2 linked regions of the Nothobranchius furzeri genome follow. The protein of the gene in region 2 interacts with the protein of the main gene of each other region in a pairwise test. Links are inferred from orthologs where the notes say so. Each region holds a gene or a part of one and is shown on either strand. Other genes may lie near its edges.

Region 1 (3,652 bases), on a different chromosome or scaffold from region 2:
ACGTATCTGTGTTTACGGATGAGTCACTGTTGGGATGGGGGGGAACGTGCTTGTTCCATACGGTGGCAGATCGCTGCCCCCCCCACACGCACGAGCACATAAATGTGTTGGAGCTTATGACAGTGAGGAATATGATCAGTCACTTCGCTGCCCTTCTCGAGGGCTGTCATGTCGAAGTTCACACAGACAACCAGGTGGCGGCAGCCTACATAAATCGCCACGGGTGGAGTTCGATCCCTCCCACTATTGCGTGTAGCCACAGATTTACTGTGTTGGTCACATGTCCACCTGCTGTCCATCAAAGCCACCTACATTCTGGGGGTCCTGAATGTAGCTGCAGACATCCTGTCGAGAGGGGGACCCCACGACTCCGACTGGCGTCTGCATCCCGCACTGATATCACAGATCTGGATCAGGTTTGGGGAACCATTGGTGGGTCTGTTCGCGGCTCGCGAAAATGCTCAGTGTCACCTGTGGTTTTCCCTGAGTCCCCGGAACCACCACCCGCTCGGAGCGGACGCCTTCTCACACCAGCCCTGGCCTCAAACACTCCTATATGCGTTTCCGCCAGTCCCACTGATTCCCCGTCTCCTGGACCGAGTTCGGTCGGAGCAGCTCTCTGTAATTCTGATGGCTCCCAGACGCTTGTCCGCGTCATGTTTTCCAGACCTGCAAGTGCTAGTGTCCGGCTCCCTGTGGAGGCTCCCGTGGAGGGCGGACTCCCTTCTCCAGGCGGATGGGATAATCAAACATCCTCCAGAAATAGGCCAACGGCTGTAGGTCTGGCCGCTGAGCGGTCACGCTTAGAGGCTTCTGGGCTGCCGCATGATGTGGTGGCCACGATTCAGAGTGCGCGGGCGCCCCCTACCGTCGCATCTTATGCTGCTAAATGGGCAGCTTTCCAGAACTGGTGCACGGAGCGAAATGTTCAAGCGCTCTCCTGCCAGCTGGCGGATGTCCTATTGTTTCTGCAGATACTGATGGACAGGGGCCTCACATTCAGCACTATTAAAACATATGCTGCATCTATCTCATCCTGTCACCAGGGTTTTGGAGATAGATCTGTTTTCAATCATCCCCTCACAAAGCATTTTCTAAAAGGTGTCAGAAGGAACAGACCTGTGTCCCGCCCACTATTTCCCCAGTGGGACCTAACGGTGGTTCTGCGTGGCTTATCTGAAGCCCCATTTGAACCCTTGGACCAGGTCTCACTCAAGTTCCTGTCACTCAAAACTGCCTTGCTGCTGGCGCTGGCATCAGTCAAGAGAGTGAGCGACCTAACCGCCCTCAGTGGCTCCCGCATGCCTCAGGATCCGGGAAGATGGCGGGTCTGCGGTTTTATGCCCCAACCCAGCCTTTGTGCCCAAAAACATTAATGCTTCCTTCAAATCCAGGTCAATTTCATTGGCTGGACTTTTTCCTCCTCCCCATAATTTTGATGAGGATGCGGCTTCCCACCTTCTCTGCCCGGTGCGCGCGCTCGCACGACATGTGTCACGCACTTCAGGGATTTGCTGCTCACAAAGCCTGTTTGTGCACTACAGAGATTCTTCCCTTGGGCAAGCGCTGTCGACCCAGCGTCTTTCACACTGGCTTTGTGACGCCATTTCACTCGCTTACACATCATCAGGGCGGGATCCTCCTGAGATTTCCTCTTCTATGGCGCTCCACAGTGGTGTGTCGATGGAAGACATTTGTCAGGCTGCTTCATGGGGTTCTCCCTGTTCCTTTACTCGTTATTACTCACGAGATGTGTCTTCAGGCTCCATCACTTGTTCAGTGCTTGGACCTCAGCAGGCTGAGTGAAGGCATTATGGCACCACATCAGCCCTACTTGAATGAATTTCATCCTCTTGTGGATGATAATTTTAGTGGGGCCCCACTCTTCTCTCTGGTTGCCTCAGGCTTTTAAGCCCTGGGCTGCGGCTGAGCGTCCCTCACTAAAAGGAGACATGTTGCGTGTGTCCATTGGTTGAGCTAACCAGTGTGGCGTAAACCAATCTAGCTGCGCATTATTCCAATAGCAGCTAGCTTAAGGGCTAAGACTAGACGAAATAGAGCGTTGGTTACGTATTGTAACCCCAGATTCTATGAGTCTAGTTGCAGCCCTTAAGCCACTGTACCCACTGGTTCTGTTAGGACTAAGAGCCATTGGAGGCGAACAGTGGAGTTGCTCCACTTATATACCCACAAGGGGTGCCCACCATTGGTGGGCGTACATTTAAGCTCTTCATGATTGGCTGATGCTGAGATCATCCTTCCAATAGCAGCTAGCTTAAGGGCTGCAACTAGACTAATAGAATCTGGGGTTACAATACGTAACCAAAGTTCAGGATTCTGAAATCCTGGTCAGAGGATTCACACACAGAATCATGAAGTCAGGGTCAGAGGTCCTGTCGGGGGCTGAGGGTTCTGACCTGTAGTGTGGTGATGGACTTGTGGGCGTGCATCAGGTGAGGCATGACGGCCTCCAGTGAGCCGTGCCACTTGCACGTTGCTCCGGGACACGGACAGGTGTAGGGTCTGAACTCACAAACCTCCTCATGGTCAGGTTTCTCGCTGTGGTGGAGCGACAGCTGGCAGCCGGCTGATGAATACTGCAGCAGGATGGAAAAGACGGAGCAGCTTCAGCAACACTCCAAGATAAAAACGTTCAGACTTCCTCCTGAGCTTCTATTTAACCTGAGATGTTCCGACTGCTGCTATAAAAATGAACTAACGTTAATTATTAGTTAGCCATGAACAGGGCTAGTTATTAAAACTCATAAACAGGAATAGTTTTTAGTTACTAAAAAACTAGACTATTATTAATTTCTCATTAATAAGACAAGTTATTAGTTAGCCATGAACATGAATAGTTTTTTGTGACTAATAAAGATGACTAATTATTAGTTACTCATAACTAGGGTTGTCACGGTAACCGGTGTAGCGGTAAACCCCGGTAAAAAAGTTGACAATAATAATAACCGTCTTGTTTAAATATATATATTATTCCCATTTTCTTGTAGTTTCTCAAGAAAAACTATTTTTTTGGACATTTTACTTTTCTGTTTCTGGTGCTGTGAAGCTTGGAGGATTTTTACTGCTATTTTTTCACTTTTTGAGCATTTGTTATTATGTGTAACCATGGCAACAAGCTGGTTTACAATCGGGAGCAGCGGATTATCATTGGAAAGGCTGAAATAATACCTCAACTGAAGCCACAAATCCCAAATGAGCTAAAACGCAAGAAGCGTGGGTGAAGAGCGGGAGCAAAACGGAGATAAAGAGGAAATTCAAACCATCTCTTCCATCGATCGTAATGGAAAATGTGAGATCACTGGCCAACAAGATGGATGAACTCCAAGCCCTTTCAAGGACTCAGCCAGAGTATCGGCAGTGCAGTGTTATGTGTTTCACTGAGACATGACTGCAGGACCATATACCCGATTCCAGCGTCTCTCTGCCAGGATTCCTGATGGTACGAGCAGACGGAGATCTGTAGAGGAGCAGGAAAAGAAAACGAGGTGGAGTGGCAGTGCTTTTCAACAACAGATGGTGCCATCCAGGTCATGTTTCAGTGAAATGTCGTCTCTGCAGCCCAGATGTTGAACACTAGGCAGTAAGTTGTCGCCCATATTATTTGCCAAGAGAGTTCACCAGTGTTGTCTTG
Region 2 (3,652 bases):
TATCAAACCGTAGGTACTGGGAATTGGTACCGCATCGATTCAAATGTCAAAGGTTCCCATCTCTGGGTAGAAGACCATTTTCACTTTTAGTCTGCATGTTAAACTCAGAGTGACCGATCATGTTTCAAAAATGATAAAAAACGGTTTGTCGGTGAACTTGGTCTTTAACAACACGCCCATATCTTGTTCCTTGGGTGTACTTCAGTCCCCAAACACAAAACCTCTGACTAGCATATGAAACCTTGATAACCGTGTCCTCATAAATAAACTTTAATCAGTTCTGTACAAAATCAAACATGCTGCAGGTGTAGAGACCTAACACCAGCTCTGAGCCCCTTATTCCACGTTCCATGTGAACAGAAAACCTTTAGTGTGTGGGGGATAGAAAAAAAGAATAAAGTCCTCCAAATAGAAACCTGGCAGCAGACCTTGTGTGGCCGGGGCCTCTAGAGCCCCCCAGCGCTGGCTGTGTCTCTTTTTCAGGGTGATGTCGAGGCGGGACGGGGTGAAGGAGTAGCTGCAGTGCTCGGGCTGGATCAGGTTCCTGACACACAACAGACCAAAATACATTCAGGCCAAATTAGAGGAGCAGACATAGCAGCATGAGCCAGCTGCTGAAACTGATCTGAGAGCAGCGCTGCCTTTCACTGGAGGACCTGCCCTGAATACTTTGATGTAATCAGCTGTTTTAATACACAACAAGCAAACTACTGCTAGCGTTTCTATCCATCTGCACATGTGTAAATAAGTCACTATGGATAAAAGCGTCTGCTAAATAAATAAACATAAACATGTTACCTGAGTTTGACTTGCCACTTGAAGACCGTGTTTGGCCCACAGTCAGGATGAAGCCGGAGAAAGTTTCTGTCGCTGTTAAAAGATAAATCAGATCAGCTACTGATAGTTTGATGGTAATAAAGCCCTTGAGCGGTGCTTGTGTTTGCTACCTGGTCTGAAAGATGAGCGTAAAGTCTTGCTCTCTGAAGATGACCCTGGCGGTGTCTCTGCAGACCCCCTTAAGGTAAACGTTCACCACCATCAGGTCTGTGCCCTTCTCATACGAGTCGTTCTTTACAGCCTGCAGGTTCACCATGGGCTCTGCAGAAAAGTCAGATTTGATTTACTACGGTGCAGAAATGTTACCCGGTGATTTCCCATCATCCCGTGCATGATTAAACAAAAATACAAACAAACGGCGTCCACTAAAACACCCTCACTAACCTTGTTGTTGCATCATCTCCAGAGGGGCTTCTTCTTTAGACTGGTCCTGCTTCTCCTCCCCATCCCAGCTTTGCCTGGCAGCCACACAGGCAGCTGGAGCTGAAAGCATCTCTGTTGAGTCTTCATGTTGCTGTGAGATTAAAGCCTCCTGTCCTGATTCATGTTCAGCAGCTTTTCTGTGTGGTGATGAGTCTGTCCGGTCCCCCTGCATTTGGAGGGAAGTAGCGTCCACTTTATGGCTCGAGTCGGTGGGTCTGAGGGAGTGATCGATGACGGGAGGAACGGGCTGGCCATCGCGGACTTGTTCTGTTGCTTCAGACGTTTCTGATGATTGGTTTGTTTTATCTGACACCTGGTACAGAAAAAGGAACTGTTACACATAATTACCCTCTATTAGAGCTGGGTGCTGGGGCAGCATAACCGCTCCACAGCCAGCGTTTCTGGCAGCACGATTCCACTGAACCCATTCAATGCAATTATCTTTGATTGCTGCTTAAAGGAAAAAGTCTAATTACTAAACACTTTAAGATTGCACAACAGTCAGGAATAAAAGTATAATAAGGCTACGTTCACACTGCAGGCAAAGGTGTATCACATCCGATTCTTAAGTATTAAATCTGCCTCCTACGTCACCGAGTCAGCAGAGGTGAGCGCCATGTGTTGACGTTACATGACTGGACATCCTGTTAAGTATGAGAGCAGGAGGTGCTCTGGAGGTTTCTTCCTGTTAAAAGGGAGTTTTCCTCTCCATCGTCGCTACATGCTTGCTTAGTATGAAAATTGCTGTAAAGACTCTGACACTAGTCGGTGACTTGAAGCAACCTGCTGGGTTACTTATACAGGACACTTTTAACTCACTGGCTTAATGAGCTGAAATGTTTACTTTGTGAAGAGCCTCGAGACGACTCTTGTCGTGATTTGGTGCTGGTGCGATGCGCCTCTCTGGCCTACGTGAGAGCAGCCCTCTATGAATCAACTAAAAACAGGAACACAGGGTTTCACCCAGCGCCAGGCTTTGCTCGGCCACCCGCCAGGCTAAGCGTCATGCCCCGCCCCCCTCCTCTGCCAGGCTTAACTCCTTTTCTGGGGGAAACCCTGGAACACCAACCCAGTTTATAGTTTAAAAATGGTTTCCAGCCCTAAACGAGACTTTCTTTCGTCTTTCACATCACAACTCCACGCCTCCTGATTCTGACTCCACTGAGCGCTCTGCTGCTGCCCTCGCGAGCCGCTTCGGGGTTGTGAACTGTCCATACTGGGGTGTTTGCTGTCGCATTTCAGTTATAATGTGAACAACCACGCAAAAAATTGGATTTATTTAAAAAAATCAGATATGAGCATTATGACCTGCAGTGTGAACGTGGCCCTAGACAACTAGAATTTCCTGCAAACACAAAGTATTTGGTGAATGGTCTGTATTTATATAGCACTTTCTAGAGTCCTATGACCCCCCCAAGGCACTTTACAACACACCAGTCGTTCACACACACACACACACTGCTGCTGATCAGCCACAGATGACCCGGGACACACTGACAAAAGCGAGGTTGCGGTACACGGATGCCACCGCCCGGGCCCTCCGACCACCACCAGCAGGCAGCGAGGATTAGGTGCCTTGCCCAAGGACTGCGACACAGTGAATGTGACACAAACTAAATATCTGAATCGTTTATATTTAAATATGAATATCACAAAGAGCGTGCTTCACTTGAAAAGGGTCACATTTCAGTTGCCGGGTTCTGTATAAAGTCTGCTTGTGTTACTTTGACTCGACGCTACTGTCTTCAGTTTTAGGAACAAGCTCCTCCTCAGCCAGATCACACGGTCCCCGCTCCCATAGCTTCCGCCAACTGCGGTGACGAGCAGCCGGCGGCAGCTAGCGGGAGATGGTCACGGAGATCTGGTCGACCATTCAGCACCATTTTCTCTCAGTATTCTAATTATCAACTGGTAAGTTTAGACGAAACTCAAAGCAATGATGCAACACAGGATAAGAGACTGGATCTTACCCGAGTCCTGCTGGCTGTCTCGTCCAGGTCCAGGTCCTCCCTACTGCCCCGCGCCTCCACTCTGTTGTCTCCATGACTGTGTGTACGCAAGCTCTGGACGGTGGTTAGGTGTGAAGGAGGGGCTTCCACGTTTGTAGACCTGACAGACGCTGGGTCCATTTCTTCACCCTCTCTCACCTTGGACAGCGGTACGCTAGTTCGCTTGGCACCAGACTCCTGCAGTTGCTGGGTAACGTTTGTGACGGTCTTAGACTTGACGCTAATGTTTGAGCCGTCTCCAGCTCCACTTCTCACACACACAGAGTCTGTCGCGGCCTTGTCAGAGGCTTTGTTCTTCGAGCTGCGCTTCGTGCCTCGCTCTGATTTCCCGTTGATCCGTCTGGATTCACCGAGAGCCGGCGATGAGGGGGGCTGGGGTTGTG

The links. The genes of interacting proteins can lie anywhere in the genome.
Region 1: the proteins of usp19 (region 2) and siah2l interact in a two-hybrid assay, tested with the Homo sapiens proteins (2 studies listed by BioGRID). The link is inferred for Nothobranchius furzeri from reciprocal best matches to the Homo sapiens genes USP19 and SIAH2.

Annotation. Positions count from the first base shown.
Region 1 is NC_091750.1:26,755,851-26,759,502, reverse strand, and holds part of siah2l (E3 ubiquitin-protein ligase Siah2), read right to left. Parts: intron 2,598-3,652; coding exon 2,418-2,597; intron 1-2,417. UniProt on the Homo sapiens protein: E3 ubiquitin-protein ligase that mediates ubiquitination and subsequent proteasomal degradation of target proteins.
Region 2 is NC_091755.1:48,418,413-48,422,064, reverse strand, and holds part of usp19 (ubiquitin carboxyl-terminal hydrolase 19), read right to left. Parts: coding exon 3,231-3,652; intron 1,574-3,230; coding exon 1,222-1,573; intron 1,099-1,221; coding exon 948-1,098; intron 871-947; coding exon 799-870; intron 545-798; coding exon 429-544; intron 1-428. UniProt on the Homo sapiens protein: Deubiquitinating enzyme that regulates the degradation of various proteins by removing ubiquitin moieties, thereby preventing their proteasomal degradation. Stabilizes RNF123, which promotes CDKN1B degradation and contributes to cell proliferation.